Lepisosteus oculatus: one gene and its partners. The protein of the gene in region 2 purifies or fractionates together with the protein of the main gene of each other region. This does not show direct contact. Links are inferred from orthologs where the notes say so. Each region holds a gene or a part of one and is shown on either strand. Other genes may lie near its edges. The genes, in order: hecw2a, arrestin domain-containing protein 1, nedd4l and nedd4a.

Region 1 (7,330 bases), on a different chromosome or scaffold from region 2:
CTGGTGGATGACACTCCGGGCTAAATCTCTGTGAAAGTTGCACAGAAGCTTAGAGGATGTGTGTTTCCACACCTTCCTTGTTTGGACTGATGTTAAAATGCCCACAGGGGTCTGCCTTTTGTTCTGGGGTGCAACAAAATCTTCTAGTTTTTGGACGCTGACATCTCGGAGGGGAATATGGCCAATTGGGTGAGATCTTAGAAAACTTTTAACTATCCCATAAATTGCAATATCTCAAGAAACTGTGAAAAACATTATCGTGTTTAAGTAAAGAATGTGATTTGCACCAGAAAAAAAAGAAATTGTTGCTATGTAACTGGTACCGTGTCAAAATGTAATGAGATGTGATCATATATACTGTTTTAAGTATGTATATTAATGTAAAGCTTTCTAATTTGTGATGTCCTGTATTTTTTTTTGTGAAAAGAAAATAAAGTTCTTAAAAATAAAAAAAAAACAATCGATACTGTTGGGTTTTGTTTTTGTGAAAATACTTGATTTCACTATAAACTTCTCACAATAAGCACACCTGAAGAAGGCTCCATGGCCGAAACGTTGTGCTTTTTTCTCTTTTTTTTTCAGAGTGGAATAAACCTATTAGTTGTTCCTTTACAGCCTACGCATGCTGACGCAGCTACCCACCTGAAATCTCACAATAAGTATGCACTCATATAGACTTGCAACACTATTACAACTGTTGTAACAAAAGGTGATTGTCTTTTATCAATCATTAAATTAGAGGAAGTAAATGCTTGTTAAACTCTTGTTAATCTGTTTGCAAAGTATCACCTCTGTGTCTTGTTTATGAAAACAAGATTCTTTGGTCGCTATGGTTCCACCATCTTGCCACCAGAGGGCACCCCCAACCTCTAGGAGCTACTCTTGCTGTACAGCAGAGGAACAGACCAAGCAGATGTCTTTTGCCACTCCCTCATTGTCTAGTGTCACTAGCTCTCCCTACTTTCCTTCATCAGGCCTATTTAAATCCTGCTCTCTAACCACATTGTGTATAGTGTTGTTTGCTGTAAATATTCTCATTTTTTACTATTTCCCTTATTTTAATAGCTTTCTCCTAATCCTGCTTGCTTTCCTTGTTAGCCTAATTCTTGTTTTTTGTTCCTGGGATTTGTTTCCTTCTTTTTTTTTTGCATCTTGGTTTTTCCCTGTTGGTTGTTCTATGTTCCTGGTTACCTACCTGGTTTTGGACTTTGGTCTGTTTGTAGACTTCATTAGTTGATTGTGTTTTATGGTTGTCTTCCTGGAATGCTTTCCTGGTTCTGGACTTTTGTGTGTTTGTAGGCTATGGGTGCAGATTGTGGTTTTTTGTCCTCATCATGATTTCTTTGACAGTTGGAACCTGCATAGAATCCATTCCTTGAATATCTGTGCCATCAGACAGCCCATTCAGAGGTGAATACAATGCAGAAACCAGCCCCCTTGTGCCAGGTCAATAGTGTTCAAGAAAGAAAATATAGGAATGGAAAAAATGATGAGAGAGAACCCAGAGACCCTTATTGCTGGCTGCTACCAGGCAAACAACTGTGAAAACTACCTTTTTTTTTTACTGGGCGGAGCAGTGGTTCTGTGGCTATCTTCTGCAGCTGGCAGAGGAATCCTACTCCGTTGGGCCTCTGAGGAAGGCCCTTATCCCAAACTGCTCCAAGGGCGCTGTATTATGGCTGACCCTGTGCTCTGACCTCAAGCTTCTCTCCCTGTCTGTGTCTCGTGGAGAGCAAGGTGGGGTATGCGGAATGACAAACTCCTAATGCAAGAAATTATATAGGGCTAATAAAGTGATGTTATGTTACTGAGCACCAAAAAGCCTGGCACACAGATATATGCAAGATATAATCAAATATCACCAAAAGAGGCATCAGCAGAGGTAGGCAGCAGGAACTGATTCTGGCGAGATTCACAAAGTGGTGACTACCACTTTATTAAAAAAATAAAGTATCACATTCAAAAATGAATACAAGATCTGAAATCACCACATCCAGATGCAAATGATAGAGTTTGCAGGACAACAAAAACCTGCAGTCCTCAATAGCCTTGCAGAGCCGAGCTGCAGCTCACAGAAAGGAAAGTAAAAATTCTCAAACAACAGCTTAGGAATCTGAATATTTCTTACTGCAGCCCTAAAAACAACAGAACAGCCCTGAGGCTCAGGATGCAACATAATTACACAAACCTCCACACACACTGACAACCCTGTTATCTGCACAGCAAACTCTAACACCCCAAACACTCTCACTGCACACCTGTCTCTTTTTTGCCTAAACACAGTGCGATTAACACACACCACCGGCCCCACAGATGGCCTCACCCAACACCCCCACCTTATTTTCACACATTCCCACACAAACTTCTGCTTGGCAGTATAGTGCACCTCAGGCACTCCAGAACCAGTGACTCTGAGGTAGCCATTCCCATTGACTGCAGTGGGAAATACATCAGTGAACACAGGCATTTCCCAGGACTCAAAACAGCAAAGGTATGGTGTCCAATGAAAGAAAAGGCACCTCGGCTTCCTTCCAGATCAACCCTATGGACACCAAGGCACATCATCTTCCATGGTACCAACAATCTAAAGACCCAAAGACAGCAGGCGGTTCGGTCCATCAGTCCTTCTCATCAGAATAGAGATCTCCACCCTGCTGCCAAGAAAAGACATGCAACACCACACAATCTAGAAAACGTACTCCCAGCTTTCATGGTACTGCTTCCAAACATCTGCAGCACAAGCCTCAGCATCCCACCATGTGACCCCAGTACCTAAAAGACCACAAACACCTCAAAAAGCAATCGGAATGTTTACAAAGGAGAGCACAATCGGCAGGGACCTAACCAACTCCTCAAAGAGGACACATAGCCAGAAATAAAATTATAAAGAAACGTTTTACAAATCAAAGAAAGGTTGTGAAAATTCAGGGGTACCGTGGAACCTGTTAAACACATGGTCTGAACATCATTGGTGCTGTGGTGGAAAAGCTATTGACTGTGAAAGATCCCCTGCCTCTCCCAGAATATTGCAAGTACAATATTTAAATACTTAAATATTTAAGTGCCATATTTTTTAAAAAAAATCATTAACAAATGAAAGGAAAGTTTCATAATTAGAAGAAAGGTTATGAAATTTCAAGGGTAATGTGGACCCTAATAAACACTTGGTTTGGACATTGTGGCTCTAGGTAAAAAGGTATTGACTGTGGAACAACCTCCACCTAACCCAGAATATTGCATGTAGACTAAAGTCATATTAAAAAAATCCGTAAGGTCCACAGAAAGTATTTCATACTTTCCGTGGACTCTGTAAAACACTTGGGTTGAACTTCATCGGTGCTCTTAAAAAAAGCTACCAAGTACAGCACATCTTTCCTTCTTTCAAACTTATAGCATATGTACAGTAACTGCAATACTAAAGGCCCTTTGAAATGAAAACAGAAAATGAAAACTAATTAAAGAAAATCGAATCCAACACACACACAAGATGCATTATTGTAACCTATTTTGAATTTTGGTATTCTGCTTTATATGGTCATATGCAGGTACTTCGCATATTCTCGCGTTATGAACTCATGTATATTGCACCTAAAAACGAAGGTTTCTAAATAATGCAGTGTAAATACAATTCCTGAAAAAATAAACATCAGTGGTTTGAAAGTTCTGCATGTTTTCCTCTCAAAGTTATTAATATTTGAAAAAGTGTGTATCAAAAATAAATAGGCATATAAATGCTCAAGTGAAGGATGTAAAAAAAATCCCAAATCACACACAACAAAATACAAGAAGTTTGACATCTCTAGGTGGTTTCCTTGAGACATTATTGAGGTATTAAAAGATGTAAATCGAGCTTATATTGTATATAGAACTTCAAGCTGGTTTTATGGTGGTAAATTATGTAACATAGAAATTCACATACTGTACCTCAATTCCTAGTTACACTGCTTTTCATCCGTCATTAAAATTGTAATATTGGAATTGTAATTCCAAACAACGCAAAGGATGAAATGCTGAACAAGGGTTTAAATCGGAGAGTGCAAATCGGAGAATATCTGCGATCGGGTTGAGCCTGTGTTCTGTGCGTGGGATCCGGAGATGTGGACAATGCGATAGTTTTAATTTGCAGGTTAAGATATGAAGTGCTGCATTAGAAATTCTGAAATGGGTATTATAATCATCCTGCTGCTTTAAAAAAAAACAATGGTTGTCGTTAACGACAGCGACTGTAAAAACGTTTTTTTTCGCATTCTTTAAAAAAATAATGAATTTAACAGACGTGTATAATACAATGACAAACTAGGAATGCTCTTCTCGTAGAGTGAAATGGTGATAGTTAAAAGGTAACAGAGGACCTTAATATACGGTTCTCTTTCACCTGACCGAATGTGTGTACAATACTGTATTTTTGTTTGTATACGTTCCGTAGAAATCGGTTCGCTCTCAGTTTTATGCACAGAAATCCTCCCCGCTCTCTCCTGCGGGATGGTTCAAACCCCTCTTCAGTGTGCGTTTTCTTCCTGGTTTGCTCTTTGCCTGGCGCTGTAGAAATCCAAGATGAAGGGAAAGTGGTGCTTCTGTATCCAACAAAATTAAAAACTGAATGATAACTCAACATGTTGGTATTTCACTGGGTTTGTAAAAAATAGGGGGTACCCCAGTTATCACTCCTTTACCCGTTTTGCTTTATTTTTTTCCGTTTATATTTCAGCACATATTTTCTGAAGGAGAAAGAGAATAGAAGGTGTAGTTAACGGATAGTTATGCCTGTGCATTTTGGGGATGAGGCGAAGGAATGCGTTTGTGATTGCAGGGAGCTACAGTATGCAGTGGGTGCTGTTGCTTCTGCGGCGGAAATAGGCGCCCTGGCGGATGCGAGGTGAGGTCTTTAAAAAAATACATAAGAAATGAGATTTCTCCATGAGACGACTGGCCGCTGCCCATCCACTCGAGGAACACGGGAAAACATCACCACTGCCGATTTCGGGGCGTCTCTGATTCCTCACTGCCCCTCGGACTCCTCAAACATCTGAGCAAGCCCGCACGAGCAGAGGAGAGGGGCAGGCACGGGGATGCAGTAAGAGCCGCCTCTGGCGCACGCCAAGTCCTGGATGAGGTCCGGGGCCCATCCCTACAACGCTGTAACTGGATATACAAAAAAAATACATGATTTTTCTAAGCATCTTTATGGTTTGAATACATTTTTTTAAATGGAATTGCTGGCTCCCTTTCTTTCTTGCCTCCCCTCTTTTGTATTCCTTTCTTCCCGGGGTAAGTAAGGTAGTGGAAAAGTGTATGCTTACGTAATGCGCGGCTTAGATTGTTTTTGCTTATTTTACAACCAGGCGTGCGGAATATGTATATATACACCAATAATAATAATAATAATATCTGATGTATGATAAGATTTGAATTTGGCTTGTGTTATTTTCAAAACCTTCGATCAAAGTGGGCTACGTGTGGTCTTGCGGTATTATATGCTGATTCTTTGTATTATTAATATAAATAGATATCGAGGGAATTCCCAGAACAGACTCTCCGTTCCAGAAAGCTGTGTTTTTATTCAGTAACGCTAGGGAGAGGGCTGAGGCTGTAGTATTAATGATGATACAGGCATATGCGAGTGACAGTAAGGAAGACAGGTAAAAATGTACAATAGAAATACACGAAGGAATGCATAAAACTTACTAGTACTGTACTGAATGGCTTGGGGCTTGTGTTGAATTACCTGTGTTGCACTATGATAATTACTGTATTTTTTGCATTTTTTACTTCATAACGGTACCACGCAGAAAAACCCTAAACCGTGGAACTTGTTGATGTTATGCAATTTGTTGCAGAGCAAATTGTCAATTACACTACCATAGTTTATCACGTTTTTTATAGTTTCTGTATGCTTCATTAGAATGGCGATTAGTTGTTTTTCCACCTCGTCGAGACCGCATGCCAACTGAACCAAACAACGGAAGCAAAATCATACAAATATACAATAACTGTTAATTTAATAGTGTTGTATTTGTTCACTAATTTTATTAGCCTGTCCATAAACTAGTTTTCTCCTCCATTAGAGCTTTTTTTTTAAAGATAAAAGCCACTAGCTAGCTGTTTGCGAATTTTAAGAACCTAGCCGATAAACCCAGTACAGTATTACAACCATGACGTGTAGCAGAGACAAAGCTACCAACTCCTGAAAGCCGTTTCAGGACTGCAGTATCACAGTGACATTATTTATTCCAAGGGGACGGAGTCAGCTAATTCGCTTTATTAAATTACCTTGCGATTCAGTCCAATTTCAGTGCTCGTGACGTTTGATTGGGCTGTCAGCGGGTTTTTTTTTTCCAGTAGACTAATATCCACTGTCCAGCACTCTGCGCTTCCTATGCACACCTATCCTGTATGATCCGTCACCTCTCACCTCGGATATATCCATACTGTACGTATTTCGATTCCGATCTATACAATGTACATATGATCGTATTTATGATTCGCTTCTTCATGCAGTGCGACATTTCAGTCTGTCAAAAGCTTTAAGAATTTTTATTTTCACCATGTGCACCCGAGATCCAAATAGGGGTAGTTAATAATAACATGGTTTTGCCATTATTTTTCGAAACAACCTCCTGGCAAAACTGACACACTTTGTGAAGCCCAGAAACGCTCTCCACGACCCCTGGGACCTTGCCTGTTAGGGCCCACCTGGCAGGCGACGTGTTACAAATCATATGATCACTTCAGGTCACGTGAGATGTTCCGAAATTTCGTATTGGGTTAAATCCAGATTGAAGGCTGTTTTTACGGATTGCTGAAAGAACAGTGTGATAGTTTAAAGTGGTCGGGAGTGACTCCCAAGGGTCAGTGAGAAGTCTCTCCAGGCGTCTGTCTATAAAGTGGCTAAAGCCTTCTTGTGTAGCTATGATGAGTGTGTATTGAGTTCATCACTGCTGTCCCACGCTGAGCTGACTGTGTGCTGAATCCTCATTTTCATACCCTGGGGAGCAGACAGGTAAGCCGGCTATGAGAGTCTTTATAGTAGAGTTCAGTGAGGGAATTTAGCTTGACTGCTGTTAGAATTCCAATCAAATATGTATGGTGTAAACCTTCTGCCGACTATGTGGAGAACAACTAACAGAGTCTTCACGGTAAATAGTGATATGGAAAGTGGAACATCTTAATTTGGAAAGGCACTAAAGGATGCTGTTTAAAGTATGTATCTGGGGGTCTCTTTTAGTATAACATTATGTGTGGGTGTGCAGCAGTTTACTGGCCATTCACTCACAGTTCAGTGAGCACCCTGAATGGGATCATGTGATCTCTAGGTGGTAGGCTGTCATCC
Region 2 (7,274 bases):
GCCTGCGCATGCTGACGCAGCTCCCCACCTGAACCAGTACATACAATACGATCAATCGGTACAGTGAGAAGTTAACACACACAGAACAAACCAGAACAGAACAGTACACAAAAAAAGTCGATAAATATAAATGTAACAGTAGTGTACTGCTGTCCTCTTGCTATGGACGTCTATACAATTATACTGAACTTCTCTTCCAGCTGCAGTCAGCCGTTTGCAAAAAAAATCCTCATTTTTAAGCGCTTGTTATCCCCCATATCTGTGGGAATATTGGAATGTCGTCAGATTTCCCCCACATCGGCTCTGATCCAGTGTTAATGGCATTTCCCCCCGCTGGCTCGGTTCTCTCCAGCTGCCAGCGGTGCCCTTGAGCTTCCCCCCTCTCTGACCCCCCCCAGGCACATCGAGGAGGCCATCGAGAAGCTGGGCAGGCGCCACGCCCACCACATCCGCCTCTACGACCCGCGGGGCGGCAAGGACAACGAGCGCCGGCTGACCGGCCGCCACGAGACCTCCAGCCTCCACGAGTTCTCCGCCGGCGTGGCCAACCGGGGCGCCAGCATCCGCATCCCGCGCCAGGTGGGGCAGGACGGGCGCGGCTACTTCGAGGACCGCAGGCCCGCCGCCAACTGCGACCCCTACCCCGTGACGGAGGCCATCGTGCGCACCTGCGTGCTGGACGAGGCGGGCGAGGGCAGCGCCTGAGCTGCGCCGGGTGTGGGAGGTGGACCGTACCCCCCCTGCCCCCCCCCCCCCGGTGCCCAGCAGCCTGGTCTGCTCTGCGCCGCGCTGGCAGCGGGCGGGCCGAGGCACTGGAGCGGGCAGGCGTCGGAAATATTCCGCTGACGGGGAAACGCCTTCGAGGGCGGGGGTGTGTTTGAGGAGCGAGCACTTCTTAAAAAAGAAAATAAAAATCCACCCTACCCCTGTAAGGCATTCCATGCAATATCCACGCTGTACTGGACGCGAGCTCGTTTCGCCGGGCCGGGCCCTGCTGGGCACCCCCAACGAGCCCGGAAGACCCCTCGACGGCCGCCTCCTCTACCGTTCGCTCTGCCTGTTTCCCCTCCCCCCCGATTTCATATCTGCGTTTCTGGCCCTCGGGGGCCACTACAGGCTTGGGGCCACCCCAGGCTTCTTCGTGCAAGTGTGGAGGCGGATCCCGATCCCCCACCTCCCTGGTTGCCGAGCGCCGTGGGGATCCGGATCCGCCTCCCTGCGGGATCATCCCACCTGCTGCCAGGTGCCGTGGGTAAAACGTGAAGTGGCTCAGACTGCTGTGCACGGGGGGTCTGATTTCCAGGGAGGAGGGAGGGGCATTCCAGAGGACAGTGACGGCTATCCATGATTTTTCCCTGCTCCAGGGTGTGATCTTGCACAACGGAACAGCTGTCTTGCAGGTAATGGCTTACAGCACTTTAGAAAGCCGACAATATATCTATTTTTTTAGGAGTCTTAAGCATGATAATGCTGTACTTTTATCTCGGAAGACTGTTGTAAACTTAGAGTTAATAGAGTATTTATTCAGTGGGATAAATGAAGCCGTAGGTTTTTCCAGCTCTGTTGGATGAGTTGGAGTCTGATTTTTCAGCGGTGTAGCGTTGTCGGGGAATTAATCAAAATTTTAAAATTTAAATGCGTCGCCTTCAAAAGTGGTGATACCAGCAAACAAGGTGGTGGGAGGGGCAGTCCTTCCCATGTAGCCCATATGGTAGTTAGTAGCTCATTGTCCTTGTTCAGATAGAGTTTTTTTTTTTATGCGCTCAATTAATTCAGGTGAATCTTTAGGAAAAATATCACTGTGCAGCAGGTGGAAGCAATTCACTCTCAGCTCATTCAACTTAAGGAACGACAAAATGAAACTTTGAGTTGTATTATTTTAATGTGTCACTTTTTGTATGGTTTTTAATGAAGGTGTGATGTTAATTTTACGGGTCTGATCTCCCGGCTTTGTCTTTGGGAGTATGTGTGAAATAAACGCAATAGTGCTGTCTCCACTGTGCTGCTTGATTATTCACGCTGTGGGAAAGAGCTCATTGGTAATGATGCTCATTGTTCTGAGAAACAGATACCTGGTGAGGGGTAGGCCCCATCAAGTGGCAGTTTGTCAAACTGTAGTAGTTTGAAAACCTAGCCATGAATCACGACGCTCGCTCTGACCTGCCTCGTGACGTACAAGTGACGAGAGAGTGAGCAGTTCTCCTTTGTTCCCCAAAGACTCTCCCTCCATCCTGACATCCAGGTCCAAACCCAGATCCAATCAGAGCTTCTGACCACTACCTAACAGCACACGACAAGCCCAGTGGCCTCCTTAAACCAGCTGACGCCTCAGGGTGAATATGTCTGAACAGTGTACGCTCATCTGTTGTTGTGCTGTAGGCGACGGGTTTGACCACCTGTCTTGATACCTGGCTCTTGTGAAATCTACAAGCATGCACTCTGACTTTTTACCACAAGAGGGAAACATACACCACTTCTTTTTCACTACCTGCACACTTGTCCACTGCAGTGCATCAGGGTAGACAAAGGGCCGTCTGGAGCTGGAGGGCCAGTCTGACTGCAGGTTTTCTAGATCTTTTTAAGGTATTGCACCTTAACAGAGGGGACAAGTTGTTCCCAACTAAGCCAATAACGAGCTGTAGGTTGGTAGAGAGAATTTTAAAATGTAAACCCACAGCTATATCAGCCCTCCAGGACCAGGACTGGACGTGTCCGCAAACCCTGGTTCTGGGATCTCTTGTATCTTCAGGGTCCTAATCTCTGCCCGATTGATTTCTATCTTCTATTTGGGGCAAATATTTAAACGGGATGTGTACCCGTTTAACAGTTTCTGAGGTTTGAACCTGCCCCCATGCAGGTGTGCTGTCTGAAAGATCAGCAGCTGGACTCTGTTAAGAGGCGTGTGGACAGGAATCAGGGTGAAGGGGCTGAGGAGAGATGGTGACCGTTCCTTGCGCTGAAGGCAGTGGATTTCATGCTTGAGGTGAGGTGGTTTTCAAAGTTGGGACTGAGTTCCAGATCGGCGAAGTCATCGAGAGGTACCGGAGAGCTGGAGCTCAGTAGACACAGGGGTCCCCAGGGATCAGGGGCGTAGTGTGAGCTACTGGGTCACAGGAAACCGCAATCAGAGGGGTGTGTGTGTGTGTAAGGGCGGGGGGTCCAGCACTTCCTGTCTACCCCGAAGGGGCCGATTTATTCCTAAACCACATTGCAAGGAAGAGAAATTCACAGCCAGCGGTTTTACACGGCTAGTGTAAATGTAAAATACGCAATCTAATTCCATCGTCGTCCCAGTTCCACAGAGATCCCTAGCCTGCTCCACTGGGGTCTGCGCCCGCGGTGAAACGCAGTCTGGGCAACGGGGAAGGAATTCACTTCAGTGTGTGTGTGTGTGTGTTGGTCATCTTACAATCTTACAGGCTCTCCCAGTCTGGACCATTGAGCTAGAGAACTGTGCCCTGTTGTGCTCCTGACCCTTGCTGTGTGACCAGAGACGGGTCTCTCCTCGGACTTCTACAGCCTTGTGGACCCCCCCCCCCCAACTTCGGAGCCACCAGACCATTACCATGGACTTGTAGCAGCAGTGCAGCAGCCAAGAGGCTGTTGTCATGGCAACCGGCATCTCCCTCTCTCTGCTCTGCTCTTCCTAAGTGTGAGACTGAGAGACTCCAGTAGTGTATAAAAACTACATCGCTGATGCTCAGGGGGAGGGATGGGGGTTCTAGCCAAGACGAACTTGAGTTTTCCAGCCCTCTTTACAACTTAACATTTGCCAAAGTCGTTTTTCACATAACGACTATTATTTTATTTTTTAAAAAATCTGGGCTAAATGGGCGGAATGGCTTCGAACCATGATTCCATTCTTAAATGCCTCTTCCATCCTGGGACGAGTTAGTGTATATATATACACATCGTGTCGCCTCACTGGGGTCAGGGCTTGTCAGCCGGCCTCAACAGCACAGCTGGCCAGCTTGTTCTGGACACCCACAACTCTTTGTGTAACGAAGAGTCTCCCGTCCTGAGTTCCGAGTCCAGCCTGCACTCTCCCCCTTTCCTTCATTTCCCGATCCCCGTGACCGGGCTGGTCTGGACCTGAAGCTGCCCGCTGGACTCGCATCTCGGCGCGTCTCGGGGAGGGGGGGCTTTTAAAACTTTTTTTTGAAATCGCCTCTGGCGAACTCCGCGCTTGTCTCTGAGACGCAAGACAGGGCTGGGAAAAAAAAACAAAACAAAGAGAGCCAAAAAAAAAAAAAACAGGACAGGACACGCTGGAAGAAAATAATCTCGAAGACAAGAGTCTCCCAGCCCGGGGAGCGGATAACTGACACTTCCAGGGCCGAAAAGCAGCGCCCTCATGACGTGCGGACTGCAGGCCACACGTGACGGCGAGGGCGGTGCGAGCCGGGAAGGTGTTGCGGTCCGCCGGTCCGGCGGCCGGGATCCGGAGCCACAGGGGCGAGGGAATAGCCGGGCCCACTGTGACGTCGGCGCCGCCCCGCAGAGGGAGGGGGAGTGAGGGAGAGAGAGAGAGAGGAGAGGGGCAGTAGTAGCGGCAGCAGCAGCAGCAGGTGGGACAGCGCAGCCGTGTGCGGCGCCTCTGAGGAGCACGGCCAAGCTGCCCGCGGACGACTGAGGCAGAAGGAGGGAGAGACGGGCTCCGCCGCCGACATGGGCAAGCTGCAGGAGTTCGACATCGCCTTCGCCGACGGCAAAGTGGTCTACAGCCCCGGCGAGTCGCTCACGGGCACCGTGAAAATCGCCGTGAGCGGCCCGCTGGCTTACAAAGGTGAGCAGCCGCCCCCGTCCTCGCCAAACTGTAGACGAGGGGCCGGGGTCGGACCCTGCCTTCTGTCCTCCCCCCCCCCTCAGCGCTGTGTGTCTTGGCACGCCGTGTCTGAGCGGCGCCGCTTTGGAAACGAAGTAACCTCTTTGTTGGCGGAGGTGCTGTACAGGACATCGTGGGGGGAAAGTCGCTCGTAACTATTTATCCACACAGCTGACAGGTCCGAGGAGAGAGTTGTGTGTCTGTGTGTGTGTGGGGGGGAGGATTTGGGTAGCTTATGTCTTTCATTACCGCGAAACCAGCAAGGACAGGCGTGATTAGGAGAGCAGTAATCAACTTTTGGAACCGCCTGTTTCTAAAGCGACAACCGCCGGAGCCCCCGGAGACTCGCAGGTAGCCGGACGGAGTTCCCTCCTGCTCTGGGCGAGTTGCGTGGCTGTTCCTGGGGGGCAGGAAAATATTCACTTCGCTCGGCTCTTCCGACTTCCCAAGCCGGGTTGAGAGCTTGTTCTGACGCTACTGCCCCTCTACTTATGACGCTGTCTAATGCTAGAAGGACTATAATCGAGTTCATTGTAGCGCGTATCTCGAAGCGCCTGGACGCGCAGGGCAGCGCTCTCTGTCACCTCCAACAGGTGTGCGTCTTTGTACCTGTCCACAGGACAGCGTACCTAGAAAAGGAACGCCTGGCTCTTGTCGTCAGAAGTATACGAGCACCGTGAATTCTTCCTCGTTCGTTTCGCTGTCTGTGGAATTGGCCAACTCTTTCCTGCTGGCTAGTGACGTCACTGTGCCGCGTCATGCTCTCTGGAAAAACACCTATGTTGATGAAAGGGGATTTCGCAACACGTCCTGTGTGTATCGCTTCTATTTTCTTACTAGTTGAAAGTGCATCATGTCGATCGACGCCATTCAGTTGGCGTTTACCCCTCCTTTGGCACATTTCTCCCACAATAACACAACACTCCCTCGTTATGAGCTCATGGACGTGTGTTTTAAAGAGAGCTGTGGACCACGCCTGCCCTTCTCCAGGTGGGTTGGGCAACAGGAGAGATGAGTGCAAATTTTCCACGTGGGGCACACTGCCAGATTGTTTTGCTGGGATGGGGATGGAGGGGTTGTGGAACCTGTAAGGTGAGATAGACTGGGCCTCAGGGCTCAGGATGCCATGCAGGTGATACATGGTTTTGTCCCCATTGTGTTGCAGGCTTCTGACAAAACCATGACTCAGCGCCCAGACTCTAGGCAGAGCAGAGGATATGAAGTTTCCATTCTATTTTTTTTTTTTAAGGCCAGATCTCAACAGAGCTCCTCTGCTTATGTCCAGATATGCCTATGAACGAATTTTTGCTTAAAAGCGTCTGCATAGATATTGCATTTTATTCACAGGCTTAACAGTACTTTTCTGCAGGTAGATTTTCTTTCCTAAAAAAAAAGGTTTTGAATTTCCATTTTTCCATATTTTGTACCCCTGTATTTGGTCGATGACCTTGACTTTCTCGCTGTAGCTCTGGGTATGAAGATGGTGCCCACTATCATCTGACACCTGCCCAGCCTGAGTCCACATCTCAGCAAGAGCATGAGCCTCACCAACAGAGACCGCTTCGATTATGGGCAGGACCCAGCTCTGGGCCTAGTGGTTGCTGCTACAAGGGAGATGCTCTCCCAGATTTAAGTCCACCCAGGCCCAGTGAAGCCTGGTCAGGTGTGCTCCTGTACTCTTTGAGCTCAGACGTAGTCCAGCTGAGAACTGGAGAGGTCTGGACTGTAGGGCTCAGACTTTTCAGCCTCAGACAAGAGCTTTTCATTGGGGTGCAGAGAGAGTCCTGCCAACATGGTGGGCTGCGTGACTCCTAACTTTACTGGGGCACCCCTGATTATTCATGGGGGCGGGGGGAGGGGGCGTTCTGTCATGAGGTGATTCTGCTGAGATGAGCTGGATTAATATCTGCAAAAGTCCTGCTTGAAGTTCAGTGCTGTGCGTGTTGTCTATGAGTGAGTTTGGAGCTGTTTTAGGTTCCCGGCGCTGTTTTAGTGTCGGTTCGAGCTGGGCAGGACCTGGCCCTGTGTGGCCATCTGCGAACCACATCGCCGGGGCTGTAATTTCATGTCCAGCAGCTCAAGGCCAGATGCTCTGTGGATCTGGGACGTTTATCATGACCAGAGCTCAGCGTCAGCATTGGTGCTGCTCCTGGACTGAACAGGCTCTTAGAAGAACCTTCTTTTAAACCTTTTTTGGTGGGAGGTGGTGGTGGGGGGTGTTATGAAACCAGAATTATGTGGATTAGTGGCGTGAAAAGGCAGTACGATGTCCTGGCATTTTCCTGAGCCTCAGGGAAGCTGCCAAAAGCCTCAGATGCCCGAGTTTCTAAATCTCCGCAGGACCAAATAGTACGACCTGACCTGCTGCCTGGCAGCCCGTCTTGTCCCCTGCGGCGTCTGCCCTGGCCCTGCCCGCGGCCGGGGGCGTCGCCTGAGCGTTCCTGCCCCG
Region 3 (7,900 bases), on a different chromosome or scaffold from region 2:
AAGAGTGTGCCAGACAGGAATATATTTTCCACTAAATCGTCATCTTACACATTACATTAAAAAGACCTTTGGTGAGAAGAAATCAAGGTCATTATGAGATAATGAATGAAATTTAAAAAATGTGTGGAGACCATAAAACTGCAATAATGTATTTATTCTCTCTAATGCTACAGGTTAGCCCGCACAACCACAGGCTCCTCTTCGAGGTGTTTGATGAAAACAGGCTGGTAAGTTTTGTTTTGCATATAAAAGTTTGTGTAGAACTGCATGAAGATCACGGGCAGTATTTTCACCTACTGTACAATTCTACAGTGATGACAGCAATAAATGTTTTATTTACTGCAGTATATGTATTGCAGTCCACCCCATTATCACTTCCCTGAGCTCAAATGACAAGAAATATTGCTGCAATTGCCATAGAGATGGTAGAATATTTTATTGGTTCATAAATGTTTTTCTAGGGCAGATCTTGGGTGCTGGTTCAGATCCGGACCTGGTGCTATCTGCGTGAGCTTGTACAGTGTGTTCTCCCTGTGTTCGCATGGGCTTTTGCCAGGTGCTCCGGTTTCCTCCCACAGTGCAAAGACACACTTGTACTGTAGGTTAATTGGCTTCTTCTGGGAAAACTGGCCCAATTGTGATTGTGTGTGAGTCCAGGATGTACAGTATTCTGCCTTGCGCCCTTTGCATGCCAGGATAAACTCCGGCCCATCCTGCAAGCCTGTATTGGCTGAAGCGGTTAAAAGATGGATGGAAAAAGAAGAATAAAACTATTTCCTCATTGAGACAAAATGGAAGCAGGGCCTACAGTATATCAATATTGTAGGTGCCATGTTTCTGAGATATATAAGTACTTTTTTATCATAAATGTAATGTACCTGCTGGTTTAGCAAAATAATCTGGACAACTGTAAGCTTATTTAGAACTTATTTAGAAGTCATTAAAAAAAATAAAGTAACAAAAGGGGAGCTTGTCAAAAGGGGGCTAATTAAATTTTAAAGGCTGAGAAAAACAATATATTTTAATTTTGCCTGAGGTCTTTATTAGCAGTACTTTATAAATCAGTTTTTTTCTCAATTTTGTGTGATTTTATTTATATTTTATTTTATTTACATCAAATGTTTAAGCTAATTGCTTTTATTTTACACTTTCTGAAGTATCATCTTAATGTTAAACATATTAGTGATGTTACCATTAGAATCTTCATTTCATGTTAATTTTCAAATAGTGTACCAAGATGCAAGTTGGTATCACTGTAAATAATAACCTGTTATCCTATAATCATTCATATTTTCTTAATATTCTGATTGATTTTTTTTTTCAATTCGTTAATAGAGCAATTATTTCTAGTAAGTAACCTCACAATTCACCTTCTAAAATACTATTTCAGGAAAAAGCCCAATAACACCACACAAGCTTTCTTGACATTTATTATTTTTATCTTCCTTAAATGCGTTATGTGTTTTGATAATGACTAATTGATACATTAATGTTTAGGTTGGTTGTTGTAAATAGTTTCTTTTCCTCTTGATACGGAAGGGTTTGCATGGTATCCTACACACAATTACCTTGTTTTTTCCTTTGCAGAGTTCCCTTTTCATGTATTAACTTTGCAGATCTTTTCTATTTAATTTGTACTGCAATTTTGACTCATTCCTTAAAAAATGTTGTTGAAGGGACAGACTGATGTGATAACACAGAAGAGATGTGAATTTTAAACTAGCTATTAGACAAAAGCTGTTTCTAATTTTTTCTAGCTTTTTTTTCATGGTAACTTTCATTTTCACTTCATTGGAATACTGTATAGCTGCCTCGCTTATTTATGTTTTTTTATGTAAATTTCAGATTTTATAGTTTACAATGTAGTTTGATGAGTGTCATGAGAAAGGCCTTGTATGTTCGAGATTGGCTCCATTATTACACAACGGCCCTGATCTGGTGTTAATGATCTGAAAGCTAGTGAGACAGTTGCCTTCTATTCTCCTGGTGCCAGGATGGAGTTAAAGCTGTTTAGAAGTAGTGTTTAGTTTCTTTCGCCATCCAACCTGTGTCAAGTTTGATTTAACGCCTTCCATTTTGGAAACCTAAAAAAACAGAGGAAAGTTCTGTTAATTAAAAGATAATATAAGCATTTCAACCTCTTTTTAATTACCCAACATATTATTCCTTAAGTCTTGCAAAGCTTGTCAGGATAAATATGTGTACGTGATAACCTATTCTAGCACACTCTAAAAATAAAGCTTACAAAAGCCTCTGCTAGTGTAATTCCTTATCCTAAGACATGCGAGGTTTCAGGTAGTCTTCAAACACTAGGACTGTTTAATAAACAGGAAAGTATATTTGAAATAGGTATTTCACCCAAATTGACCATTAGAAAAAACATTCTCGTCTCTTTGTTGTTGTATCCTCAAGTTACAGGATGAAAGACTGTATGGTTGCCAAAACACTGGCTATTCTCTACAGAAATATGTGGAAACTGATTTTAATGCCTATGTGATTTTAAATCAAAGATGTTGTACAGTGAAAAAAGTAGTTTTATAAAGGATGTCTGTATAGATTTATGCATTTCACGTTCTTTATTGATAGAAGTTGGTTGTGCAGATTGATAATTGATTGTGACTCGATCGTCAACACACTGGGATATGCTGAAGTCGGGCAAGAGAAACATTTAGGATCAGGAATCTTGGAGTGCCTTGATTTTACACCACAGCATATATTCTTATAAAACTTACCTTTTATAAATACAAGTTAATCACTTCATGCTTGTATTATATTGTTTTATGATATACCATTGTGGGATTTGGGGATTGATTAGTTGTCCTCAATTAAAATGGCCCAAAAATTATTAATCAGTTACTTGTTAACTTAAACAGCTACAGTATGTCATGTGATAAATCCCAAAAAGTTTATTTTAATTATAATATTAAAGATTCATAAGGTTGTTGGACTTCAATTATATTATTAAATATATTGCATTTGTAGAAATGGACAGAACATAAGAAAATAAGAACGTTTATACATAAGAGGCCATTCCCTAAGCTCATTCGCTCTGTTACTAGATAAATGATCCAAAGATCTCATCCTCTTGAAAGAAGCCAAGGTATTAACTTCAGTAACATAAAGTATCTGGGTAGCATGTTCCTGATTTGGTCCACAAACCTTTTTCTACAAAAAATGCCTCCTGTTCCCTGTAGTTTTGATCTGTTTCTACAGGTTCATGTTTCCATTTCAATTCTGTAAACCTCCATTGGGTTGAATTTGTCTTTTCCTTTGAGAATTTTGAACAGTTGAATCCTTTCCATTTGTTGTCTTCTTTGTCCAGATTCCTTATATATTAAGAAGACAACGGAAAATGGGATAATTGTTTAATGACAACTAATTACTTTGCTTTGCACACAAAATTGACGCCTAATGTCTCAGTGACTACTGTAAGTTACAGGCACACAGACAATGAGAGGAAAAATGATTAGAATACTCCAGCACACTGTTAAACCAAATACTGGGTTAACATTTTTTTAGTTCTGGTGCTACACCCTCTTTTTTAACAACTTTGAAAATGAGGCTTCTTGCTTATTTGTAAAAAAAGGAAAAGAGTAATAAACAAATTTGTACTGTAAGTAAAATCACATTAAAATGAAGACAAAAAGATTTTATTTCTGCAGGCTGCAAGCACCTGTATCCCTGAACTTTGTGCAGGTGCATGTTCATATGCTCTAAACTGCACTGACATGAACACAAAACAACATATTCAGTTGCACTGCTTACACAATGTTCCTTTTTATTCCATAAACTAACTGCTGACTTGCTAGCAACAACCTTTCGCGTTCTCTAAACAATCCATTCTGAGAGCTCCCATTAGAATGAATAACTGCATTCTTTCATTATGAGTTCTTCACGACACACCATAAGACGTTAGGCTGTCATCAACTCACTGTATTGTATTTTGCAAAGAAAGTCTTATACGCTAGGGTAACAGGCTATCTCAGCTGCTAATATACTGGCACTAAAAAAAAAGCTATCCTAATGATTGTCAGCTTTAAAAGACCAGATTGGAATCCTTTTAATTTCTAATGCAGCATTAATGATTTCTTGAAAAGTAATCACTCCTACAGTATAAGCCTATGCATTATAAAATTCTGGAAAGTAATTAATGTTTATGAGTTTGTGACCCATTTATTTTTATAATCCAAATTGGCACTCACCCTCTGTATTTTTTGATTGTTGACTGTACAAGTCCATACATCTACTCCCTGTTACTAGAATGTGAAACTTAATAATATAACTTTTTTAGAAACAAAATATAGTTGTAATACTATATTGTTGTTACAATGAATTCTGGCAAATATGTTACCAGATTGTGATCTGGTCATCTCAGATTTCACATTTCCTTTTTCAGAAAAAAAGTCTGTGTAAATTAGAAATGTTTTTGAAAACTCATTTTGTTTCTTTTTGTTTTATTTCATATAAAAGAATTGACTGAGATGTATTCATTTCAGTCTCGTACAATATGCCACATTTATTTCTGCCTGTAGATTAAAGCAACATATTGTAAAGTGCTGTACATATATGGCTGGTTAAAAGAAAATATCTTTCCTCAACTGTACATTTTGATGGTAAAAGGGAATATGTTTGTATTTTAAAGGCACTTTATTATTAGTTGTATTTTATTTATGTTTCACATCTGGGTTTATACTATATTTTAGTTTTGAATAGTTTTTAAGCTAATGATAATTGTACTGATGTCAAAAAGTGAACTTAAATTGAATTCCAAGATTGTGATATAAATGTTTTTTTTTTCTCTTAAACATTGAAGAAATGGTTACAGTTAGTACAATTTTACAATACTAGAACTCTACTGGTGTTTAAATCCCAGATACCACAGAAAAGCATGGTCCAGAACCCATCCAACGTCCCCTGCTTGTAGGATGTGGTTTTAAGATTTATAGCTGTGTTGAATTTGTGTTGCCTTACTCAGCTGTGAGCGCTCTCTCTCCCACTGGGGCCCTCTCCTTTCTGATGGATAAGGAGCAGCTGAGAAGGTGCTGTTTCAGTCTGGGACTGTTTAAAACCAGAGATGTACTGGCAAGTATTGGTGAGGGGAACTGCATCACGTGACCACAGCCATCCTACCCCATGTCACAGTGTGTAGGAGCGCCGAGTGCCCTTATCCAATCATGCCTGGAATGCTGCTTGTCACTTGGGCTATTTCTGCTATCTGTCGCTATCAGCCTGCAGTGCTAACAGTTTGGCAGATGGGACACTTTTTTTTTTTCCTCTGGAGTTTGCAGCTTTGAGTTTTTAACTCCCTGGCAGTGCCTCTCTTGTTATTGTGGCGTGAACTCCTTCTGCTTTGCTCCCTTCACTGAGGGAAGAGAGAGAGAAACTGAATCAGACAAAGGGAGAGAGAGGCTCAACATGGCCCACCGACTGAGGCTTTACTTTGGCTCCGGGCGTAGCAACACAGCCCCTGAGATGGAGGAGCTGGAGGGGGCAACAGAAGACGACATTGCCATGACATTCCACACACTGCCTCGCAGGAGAGGCTTACCTCTTTTCTCCGATCCTGAAAGCTCCTTGTCCGGAGAAACCTTCCTGAAACGTAGCTCCTCTATGTTCATCCCTCAGCTTTCAAACCCGATAGATCCTCGGCCCACAAAAAGCTCATCAATGCAGATCTCCTTGCAGCGCATCCCTGGAAATGGAGAAGAAGAAGAGTCTCCTACTCCTAGTCCCGAGTCTTTCCTGGGCCCAGCTCCAGCCTACAGGGAGCCCAACAGGAAATATTCCTTGCCTACAGACATGCCCAGAAACAATGAAGCTTCACCATGGACTCCAGCATTTGGGAACCTGTCTGGTGATCCCAGTTCACGCAATCGTAGGGTGTTTTGTATGTTGCCTGAAGAATGCCAAAATGGCCACAGCAGTCCAGGAGTGATGAATGAAGATCTACCCAGTGGAATTAATTTTGGTGGTTTCTGCATTCAGAGGAATTCTACTGGGGGCTCAGAGTTTCAAATGCTGCCTTGTGGAGCCCAGGGGCAGAATGGTCCCCACCGCCGCTGGTCTGTCCACCAGGATTCTAATGGCACCCTGGGCAAGCAACGTTTCATAGTTCAGCTCCAGCCAAATCAAGCTGGCATCCCCAAGGGCTCGCGGACAGAGGGGGCAGATCTGGGGTTCACGGGCACCAAGGGAGAGCGGGTGGTGAGGTATCCCCGAATAAGACTGGAGAGGAGCACCTCGCAACCGGTGCAGCCCAGAGCTGTCACCCCACTACTTCAGAGTAGTGCTGGAGATGGGCAGGACACTCCAGGAAGAAACCAGGACCCTGAGGGCCAGAGTAGGAATGTGGATGATGCTTTGCAAGGTTGCACCTTTAAAATCAGACAGGAACAAAACAACAGGCAGCCCCAGTTTAAGATCTATTTTACCCGAGGAGGAGAAGAGCAGAATCAGAGTTCACCACAGGATATAAACTCTGGAAATAGGCAAACAAGGATTAGCTCCCAGGTAATGTGCTGTGCTGTGTGCTACTACTGTATATAATTTAGTATTGTTAATTTTACTGTTATTGGTACTGATTATATTGTTTGCATTTATACTGATAAATATAAGTTGAAACAGCTGTTCCTGCTGGCAGGAATTTCATTAGGAAAAATGGGTAGGTTTTAAGATTAACTAACAACCTTCTTCTGGAAAGTGCATCCACTGTTTATCTATACCTTGCAAATGAAAAACCGAAGGGTTAGAAGAAGCAGCTTTCAGAGCTTGGAAATGAGAGTGGATTTATTCTAGAAATTGCTTTAGGAGAGAAGCCTGTGAGTAAGGCAGACTGACCTTTATTACTCCCCCGGAGGACTTTAAACGTTTACGTACATAAATGTTTTTTCACTTAAGAAAAATGTAAAATCCATAGGTATGTACAGTATTTGAGTGTATGAGCATTCATCCATCCTTTTCAGTCTATTTTTACAAGTGAGTTTCATGGCCTGTATGAACAGAGACTTATAACAAACAATATTTATAGTTATGCATGATTTATTGGTTACTAGATAGAAATTTTTAAGCATTTAGATAAGTATATGAACAAATAAGTATTGCTTTTGCATTTCACTCTGGTTCTATTTTTTAAATTATTTTGTTGTTGTTGTTGTTGTTTTCTGAGACTGCCAGAGTTTCCTGGCTGGACTTAGTCTAATTAATTGTTACGGGTAGGGTCATTAGCGTATGAGCTGTAGGGTTACGTTACATCCGACAAGACTGTTTTTAAAAGCCATTTCTTTTAAAGGGGCCATCTTCATATTTTTACAGTATCTCTGTAATCTTTTTGTGATAAAAACTACTTTCTGAAGGAAGTTACGCTCTATTACAAATGACCACGTTTTTTAGTAAGTCATATAATAGCTCTATATGCATGTATTAAATCTATTAACAGCTAATCAGTCTTAAAAAATAAGAGTTCTGTAAAATCCTTAATCCGCATCATTCAAAGTCATTGGATCCTTAATGGAGAAAATGTTAGTGAAGTGCAAGCACTCTCTTCGCCCTAACTGTCCATAGGATTCACTGTTACAATGAAATGAAATAAAAATGTGAAAGAACCTCAGTGTTTCTGTGGTTCTCCTGCAGTATCATATCTCTAGATTAAAAAGACCATTTTTTCTGCTGCATATAACACAGTTAAAACTATTAAGTTGCTATATTGAAACACTAACCTTTTTTATTAAACAAATATTCACTGTACATTAATAACATTGCAGAATCTATCCAGCATATCATCTGTGTCATGGTGGCGCCCGTAATGGTAATTAATTTCATGATTTTTTCTTAGAGATGGACAATTATTGACAAAGCTGAAGCTTAGCATCTGTGCGCTCATATTGCTCCTACAAATACTGTA
Region 4 (7,726 bases), on a different chromosome or scaffold from region 2:
ATATACTTAAATCTGAAGTTAAAATTGTACAGTACACTAATAAGACTGCATTTGTATTATTGTGTACAGTTTTGGTTACTCTTGAATCAATAAAGAAATGTTCCGCATGGACAGAGAAAAAAAGGCAAAGAAGTAACACTGAAAATTCTAACATTCAAAATTCTTGAAGGCCCTAACACAGTTTTCATAAAAAAATGAAAACTGTGTTAGGGCCTTCCTCAGAGCTGGAAGCTAAACACAAACCAGAGGGCACAAGTGTAAACTGTATATAAAACTGAGAACAGGAGGTCTTTATACAAAGGGTTGTTGGGGTCTGGAACATACTATCCAGCCATGCATGGCTGGTTGAAGTCGGTACTCTGGCTTCTTTCAAGAAATGCTGAATGAGATCATCGAATCGGTTATAGCTTCAAAGTGGTTTTGTCTATTCCGTAACCCCTTTTATTTTCTTATAGTTATTTATTTTTAGCTTTACAACAAGATAAACATCTGTTTATTTTTTTCCTTCCTTTTGGGTATGGGAAACACTAAAATGCACAGCAAGCTGCTGATAAAAGGATCTGATTCCAGAGTGTGTTCTCTTTAAATTTTTAATAATGGTAGTATAACTGTAAGAGATTAACAGGTGTGAAATTCAACATTTTTATGTCCCCATTAAGCAGTCAGCTATTTTGGTGTGCTTGTTAGAGTTCAGATTTGCATCTGGTCAAAGGTTTAGGGTTACGCATTAAATCGTACAGTTTTAAAGACATGAAATAATGCCAGTGTGGTAATTATAGATTTAGCTGCCTGAGAGCTACTCTGTGTCTTGTAGTGTCAGTGAAGAGGAGTGAGTAGGACTCTTGATTCCTAACTGGAAGGTTGTGGGTCCAAATCCTAGCTGGGGCACTGCTGTTGTACCCTTGAGCGGGGTCCTAGCTTCAGTAAAATTCCAACCCTGTGCAAATGTACAAGGCTTTGAATAAAATTGTCAGCCAAGTAAATTAAATTATTCAGAATACTTCCATTTCTTGGCCAGCAACCATATCACCCTGCAGCTCTCAACTGGCTACCCACTGAAGTTAAGCAGGGTTGAGCGTGGTCAGTCTGGTCTTCCCAGGAGGGAAGGCACCCTTCCTGTGGTCTGTGTGAGTCCTAATGCCCCGGTATAGTAGTGGGGACACTATACTGTAGTGGGTGCTGTCTTTCAGATGAGATGTTAAACTGAGGTCCTGACTCTGTGGTCATTAAAGATCCCTGGGCATTTCCCGATAAGAGTAGAGAGTTATCCTAGTGTTCAGGCCAAATTTCCCCCCAAATTGTCCCCATGTATGATTGGGTTGCCCCTGCCCTGCGATGGACTGGCGTCCCGTCCAGGGTGTACCCTGCCTTGCGCTCGTTGCTTGCCAGGCAGGCTCCAGCTTTCTGCAACACTGTAAGGTATAAAGTGGTTCGGCAAATGCCATGACATGACTTCCATTTCCTCAGTGCACAGTAGCTGTTAGCAGTGAGAAAACCGGATCACCCAGTTGAGAAATTACCAAAATTTAGTGGCCAAACTTTTTTCTGGATTGGAGGTCTGTGGGAAAGTAAGAGAAAGAGGAGCCATACCTCATGGTGGACAGAGAAAGTAACCCTGAAGATGCTTAATGAACATCAACATGTTGAGCTGCTTGTAAACTCTTTATTTACTCTTTAATCAGTGTAAAGCCAACTTCAGGGTCTTTCCTCCCCCCACATCCTAAATAATGATATAATTCCACAATAGCCACCTGAGAGGCTTCAGCCTTTCTTTAGGCAGAACACTGAATTTGTGGACTTTTGGGATGCATTTGTCTTGTTTTGGGTACTGAATGGATTGAAATGGTCTCCTGCCTTTCCAGTGCTTACAGATAAATGTACTGGTTTGGAAATTAACTTGAAAGGTTTCTTTTGTTTTGTTTGTTGTCAGATAAATGTTAAAAATGTCCACCAAAGGGGTGTAGGCCTAATATTTCATTACAGTGCTGTCTTTCTTTCTGCCAGTGTAATATTTATTTTCACATGCGTCTAGACAAAGTCTAGACAAAATAACATGAAATGCTAATGTTTTTTTTTTTAATTTTGCATAGTGTCCACTACAAAACAGGAATTCTGATAATAGAATTTCTTAGAGAGAAAGGAAAATGTGAAGTGGATGAGAAAAAGAGTTCATGTTACTCTCTGTGTGTATTAGACAAAAACGGTAGCAAATGAACATAGAGTATGTCTCACTTCATACTGTTTCTTTATTGTGTTATTGTCTACCTGATATTTGGTTGAAATGTATTAAATTCTACTTTATGTGAAAAACAAAGATATGATTCAGTACGGGTGGCACAAAGGCATTGTGGTTAGCATTCCTACCTCGCACTGCTGGGCCCTGGGTTCAGTTCTGGACCTGGGGTGCTGTCTGCCTCGAATTTGTGTGTTCTCTCTGCGTTCACTTGAGTTTCCTCCAAGTGCTCGGGTTTCCTCCCACAGTGCAAAGACACAATTGGCCCTGGTGTGAGTATGTGTTTGTTTCTGTGTGTGCCATGTGATGGACTGGCATCCGTCCTTGTGCTCATTCCTTGCTGGGATAGGCCTGCAGCCCTGAATTGGATGAACTGGTTTGAAAATGGATGGCTGATTAAATACATACATTTGCTATTCACTACTTGTGTACAGCATGTAAATACCAATCTCTTTCTTTCAGGTTCATCCCCGAAAGCACCGCTTGCTCTTTGAAGTGTTTGATGAAAACCGTTTGGTAAGTTTATTGTAAACATAGTCATGTTTTGCATTCACAAAGCCCACTATAACTCTTCATTTTTTATATATTTGTATTCATGTATTTGTTGCTGTGACTGCGGATAGAAAATTGTGTAGTTCTTCCTGCATTTTATTTTTGTTAGGAGTTTGAGAATAATTATTTGAGAACAATTACACGTGCTGGACTTTTCAGAAAAACTGACATCTTTCACACATTAGAGTGCTATGCGACGAATTAGATAATCTGGCTGGATAATTGACTGTAGTTATTGTATCATCTTTTTTAATATGAAAAATCATTTAGTAATACTGTCAGATTTCTAAGCCAATAACTACGTAGTGGAGTGTGCTAATCATTACAAAAATATTTCAGGATTTTGAGTATGCTAAAAATAACATTTTCTTTGACTTGGTGTATTTCTCAGGCTTGATTTTACAACAAGGGTGTGTTTTTGTAACATCTAGAAGCAGTTTCAAATACTAAGTTTTGGATAAATGTCTCTTTGTATATAGTAGCATGGAGTTCTCATCGGTTGTGAATTAATCAAAACCTAAATGAAAAATATAAGGTTTAGAAGTATATCTTTTTTTTTCTTGTGAACCCATGGGCTATGCCTATAAATATCTCAGCTATTTGGTGTGTTAACTTGCAATGAATGACCCAGTATACCTTTTATTGCATTTTATTGCTACAAAATGCAGGTAAGGGAAATGGAATATGCTCGGGGGTGTTATTAAAAGTGTAAATGAATGTGTTGTCAGCACATTAAAAGCAGTAAAGTATGAACATGAAATGTTTTTTTTTATGTTACTGGCCACTGTACTAAATTACCATAAAGGTTAAATAAACTCCCACATAGGAAGATGGCGTTCTGTTTCTTATTAGCTAAGGAACCTTTCTCACTAAGAGTTAATAATAATACTGTTCTTTTTTTCCCTCTTTGTCAGTCCTATTGTTTAATATGGCAAGAAACTTTTTTGCAAATATGCAAGGAAAAAATCTGTAAGGGGAATATACTTGATTTAATTCACAAATGCTCTGCAGCCTTGAATAATGAACAGATGTTGAAAGTGTACGTGGAGGAAAAATTTATAGATGGAGTTTGGGTCTCCTCAGATGTTATTAGTGTGTTTGGACACCCCGGATTTAAAGAAAGTTGTATAGGCTGTGAGAGATTTGGAACCATTCTCAAGAGTAAAAACCAAGTGGTGGTGAGTCCGGTGAGAACATGGCAAGCTCTTCAGTTTCCCAGCTCCAACATTTGGTGTCGGCTTTGATTAATACTTAAAGCGGGCAGGTGGTTTGCCAGTTGTGGAATTACGGATATTTAAGAACACCCTACTGAGAATCTTCCAGGGCTCACCGCATAATAAGGGGGTGAGCAGTCTTGACGTTGCCTTTAAGTGAAATGGCTAAGGATTATCAAATAGGGTTCCGTTATGGGATATTTCCATCGGCTGAGTCTTTTAGAGGTGCTAATGGGTACATCAGTGTTGAGTGCCGTGTCAATTTGTGTCAGGAAGTGTTGCTTCCTCTCTGTAGGGTTTAAATATGATTCCCAGTTATGTAGCTCAGACAAAAGAAATATAAGGATCTACAGTAGCATAAGTAGATAGACAGTAGAAAGGGTTTCAGATGTCAGTAGATGTGGTGAATGTTTTCCTAAGATATTCTGTAAAAATAATAAATTCTTTTTTAAGGTTTTGAATATTCGCCTTCATACTGAAAACTTTATTTAGTTTTATTTTGGGCTTTATTAGGGCAGTGAAATGGATGATTTTCAGCAAAACAAGTTTCATAGCTGGGGTAACTCATTGGAGAATGCTTAGTGTAAACATCGCTACTTCCAGTGCTTTATCTCTTCATCAAAGGGCTTCACAGGAAAACAGACATCATTTTACAAGCGTAGTTCATTTGCAGTTAGTAATAACTACCAGTAGCTTCCTGCATATTTGCACAATCCCAGTGGTTTTCTAGTATGGATAGTATTTGGGAATTCAATCCTTGGTTTGATACTGAATTATGCTGGACCTCATTCTTCCTGATTTCCTGTAATTCTATCCCAACGGGTAAAAATATTAGTGGTGTTACGGCGCAGCAAAGAAACTTCAGACACATTGCTGCTTAAAGCAGTTCTAAAGGCTCGGCTGGCCTGGAGCAGAAGAGAGAAGTACTGTGGCGCTTGAATGTGAAATGCTAGAAGATTGTTTTTTTTGGGCTGGATTCGTTCGTGCAAATTGGAGAAGGTATAATTGAAGCGAGGTTTTGGCTTGGGTTCAGTACAGCAGCTGAGCTCTGCCTTTAAAGTTGCTACAATGCTGTTCTCTGTGACTGAATGTACCTTGGCTCCTTAAAGATACAGACCATTAGGATTTGTGCAGTCTCAGGAGCTATTCGTTTGGTTGTGCTTACACTTCAGAGTTCATCTGACCTCCCTGGCTAATAACTTCAGTACAGCCACGAGAGGAATGTAAGTTGTCACTGGAGCTATTTCGGCTATGTACAGCTACTAATGATTGTAATCACAGAACAGGATCCGAAGCAGTTGCTTTGCTTCTTTTCAAGTGGGTTTTGCTATGCCTTCCACTCGCTTACAGGATTAGAAAGTAAGACAAATGGCACAGCGGCTTCGCTTGCATTTTGCAACCAGAAGGAGCAACACTGACCCTTTATCGGAGACCTGCAGCAATGGCGTGGAGAAAAACTTCAGCGTGTCCTCCCGGAGCCCTTCAGAGAGCAGAGGGCAGAGTTCGATTCAAATGAAGGTAACTCCAGGGCAGCTGGCTTTGCCTCCCTTGTCACCAGAGTTTGGAAATTTACAGCGCTGCTCATCTGTCTTTATACCTAAGGTAAACAACAGCAAAAAGAGCACTTCTTTGCAAATTTCCCTGCAGCCTCGCAAACTGAACGGAGAGCTGGAAAGTTGCATCAGCCCTGCGGCTGTTCATGATGGCTGTTTTATTCGTGCTTCAGGTGATGGAAGAACTTGTTCAAACAGCAAACTTGTCAGCGATGACACAGGTGCTATTCCTCACTATCCCGCTGCTGATCATGCTTCCTGTAATGAAGGTGAGTTTGGATCTTGTCTGACTGGTACCAGGAATGAAGGCACCTCTTTCAGCTCTGGCGCAAATGAAAGCAGCACAAGCAGTGGGGATTCTGCGTCATGTGCGAGCCCAAGCATAGATGGAGGTTCCTGCAGCAGCAGCACAACTAGCGATGCGGGGTACTGCAGTGGTAGCAGTACATTTTTCGAACCTGACATCCCTGAACGCCCAGCAGGGCCTGAAAGGACTTTCACGAGACGAAAGGCCAAGGTACCGCTGAGGCGCTGCTCCTCCTTAGTCATTTTCCCACGGAGCCCCTGTAACACGCCGCCAGCCTCTCCAGTTAGCCCTGGGCCTGCACCGATGCGTGGTCCATACCAAACCTCCCACCAGTTCTCACTGACTGCCGGCGAGTCTGCACAAGAGGACGATCAGATTGCATCCAAAGGCTCCATCGCAACAGCGCTCAGTGGCTTGCGGTTGTCTAAAAGCAGCTGTCCCACTGTGGAACTCAGGGACATAAGGCCACTGCATCTCAACACACCAGTGCCAGATAAACCCAGGGAAACTGACATTGGTCAGGACTGTACAGCTGTTTGTGACCGATCAGAACGACACGCGAGCATTTTGTTGCATTTCTCTCGGCAACGGGCAGTTGCCCAGGAGAGCGTGAGGACAATGACACAGGGGCAGCACAGCACTTCTGAGCAAGCTGTTCAAGGGCCGGGACTCGAAACTGAACCGCTGTGCCGCCACATTAAACTCGTCCGAAGCACATCGGCATATCTCCCATTGCAGAGGAGTCCTGACTACCAAGTTGGCTTTAGGGCAGAAGACAAAAAGGAAGGAAACCAAGGTCGTCATCATGCTCTGCAGAGGAGCCTTTCCCTTGAGGTGCCATATCAACATATTTCATGCCATGTTTCCAATCCCAGGAGACATAATTCGAAGACGGGACCCCCTCATGTACACATTCATTTGTCTCCTGGGGCTGAAGGAAGGGTCTGTGGTTCCCTGAAGGAAATAAACAGAAACTCAAAGGCTGACAATGATACAGGCAGCCCTGGCAAAAGGGACAAGGTAAGCTGCTTTGTTCATGTTCCTGGTCTGTACAGAAGAGTAAAAAGGTCTCGAGGTTCAGTTCCCTTTTGTCACGAGACAAAGTTTACATGTAATCTTTCAGCACAGTCTGGTATCATAAATGGGAAGTTGTGTTTTAGATACCTTTGTGAAACAGTTGCCCATAAAACTGTTTCACAACTGTGGGAAAAAAACATCAACCAAAAAATAAATACACATTATAGTTTCAGAATAGTATTAAACACCTCTGCTCTTTTAGCTAACATTCATGCAGCAAATACAGTAGAGTGCCTGCCGTGCACCGATTATGTGCACCAGATTTTTACTGATCACTCATGAGAAGAAAACCGAGAACAACAGATGGTTACAAGATGGTGAGGAAACTGTTGATAAAGGTTTATGGTGATTGAGTCCGTCTTTTGGTTCTGCCACAATGTCAGTGTTAATGTGTCATTTTGACTTGGAAAAGAAACATTTCATTCTTAAGTTACTGCAGTTTAAAAACCACATCCCCTAAAAATTTCCGAAACCTGCTGAAGTGATAGGAGAACAAGTTGGTAGCTTTTGTACTGTGCTCTTACCTCGGTTGCTGTTTGCGGTTCTGCATTTGATTTCATTGTTAGAACAAAGACTGCCAGCTAACTCTGCAATACACAGACCGTCTGTGAGCTACCTTCAGGTGTGTGTCAGTGGCGTATCCTTCGGGAACAGAAACCGTAGCCACTTTTTATGTCTGTGATTAACCTCTTGTACTGCAGTTTGCAAAGAATTTGGTTCATAAATGACAAAACACTAAAGTTGCCTTTTGTAAAAGCAGCAGGATAGAGTAGGAGCTGTAGCTCAGTTT

What was found.
Region 1: the proteins of arrestin domain-containing protein 1 (region 2) and hecw2a purify together in Homo sapiens (affinity purification with mass spectrometry; 3 studies listed by BioGRID and IntAct, counting the BioPlex papers as one, with this or other methods). This does not show direct contact. The link is inferred for Lepisosteus oculatus from reciprocal best matches to the Homo sapiens genes ARRDC1 and HECW2.
Region 3: the proteins of arrestin domain-containing protein 1 (region 2) and nedd4l purify together in Homo sapiens (affinity purification with mass spectrometry; 3 studies listed by BioGRID and IntAct, counting the BioPlex papers as one, with this or other methods). This does not show direct contact. The link is inferred for Lepisosteus oculatus from reciprocal best matches to the Homo sapiens genes ARRDC1 and NEDD4L.
Region 4: the proteins of arrestin domain-containing protein 1 (region 2) and nedd4a purify together in Homo sapiens (affinity purification with mass spectrometry; 3 studies listed by BioGRID and IntAct, counting the BioPlex papers as one, with this or other methods). This does not show direct contact. The link is inferred for Lepisosteus oculatus from reciprocal best matches to the Homo sapiens genes ARRDC1 and NEDD4.

What each region holds. Positions count from the first base shown.
Region 1 is NC_090707.1:11,053,021-11,060,350, reverse strand, and holds the start of hecw2a (E3 ubiquitin-protein ligase HECW2), read left to right. Parts: upstream 1-4,306; 5' UTR 4,307-4,876; exon of another isoform or gene 4,877-5,268; intron 5,269-6,284; exon of another isoform or gene 6,285-7,000; intron 7,001-7,330. UniProt on the Homo sapiens protein: E3 ubiquitin-protein ligase that mediates ubiquitination of TP73. Acts to stabilize TP73 and enhance activation of transcription by TP73. Involved in the regulation of mitotic metaphase/anaphase transition.
Region 2 is NC_090719.1:1,903,941-1,911,214, reverse strand, and holds the start of arrestin domain-containing protein 1, read left to right. Parts: upstream 1-4,255; 5' UTR 4,256-4,668; coding exon 4,669-4,786; intron 4,787-7,274. Other genes in the region: glutamine synthetase-like, read left to right, coding at 399-705. UniProt on the Homo sapiens protein: Functions as an adapter recruiting ubiquitin-protein ligases to their specific substrates. Through an ubiquitination-dependent mechanism plays for instance a role in the incorporation of SLC11A2 into extracellular vesicles.
Region 3 is NC_090698.1:20,486,288-20,494,187, reverse strand, and holds the start of nedd4l (E3 ubiquitin-protein ligase NEDD4-like), read left to right. Parts: upstream 1-4,887; 5' UTR 4,888-5,415; coding exon 5,416-6,510; intron 6,511-7,900. UniProt on the Homo sapiens protein: E3 ubiquitin-protein ligase that mediates the polyubiquitination of lysine and cysteine residues on target proteins and is thereby implicated in the regulation of various signaling pathways including autophagy, innate immunity or DNA repair.
Region 4 is NC_090700.1:45,803,608-45,811,333, reverse strand, and holds the start of nedd4a (E3 ubiquitin-protein ligase NEDD4), read left to right. Parts: upstream 1-4,551; 5' UTR 4,552-5,367; coding exon 5,368-6,879; intron 6,880-7,726. UniProt on the Homo sapiens protein: E3 ubiquitin-protein ligase which accepts ubiquitin from an E2 ubiquitin-conjugating enzyme in the form of a thioester and then directly transfers the ubiquitin to targeted substrates. Specifically ubiquitinates 'Lys-63' in target proteins.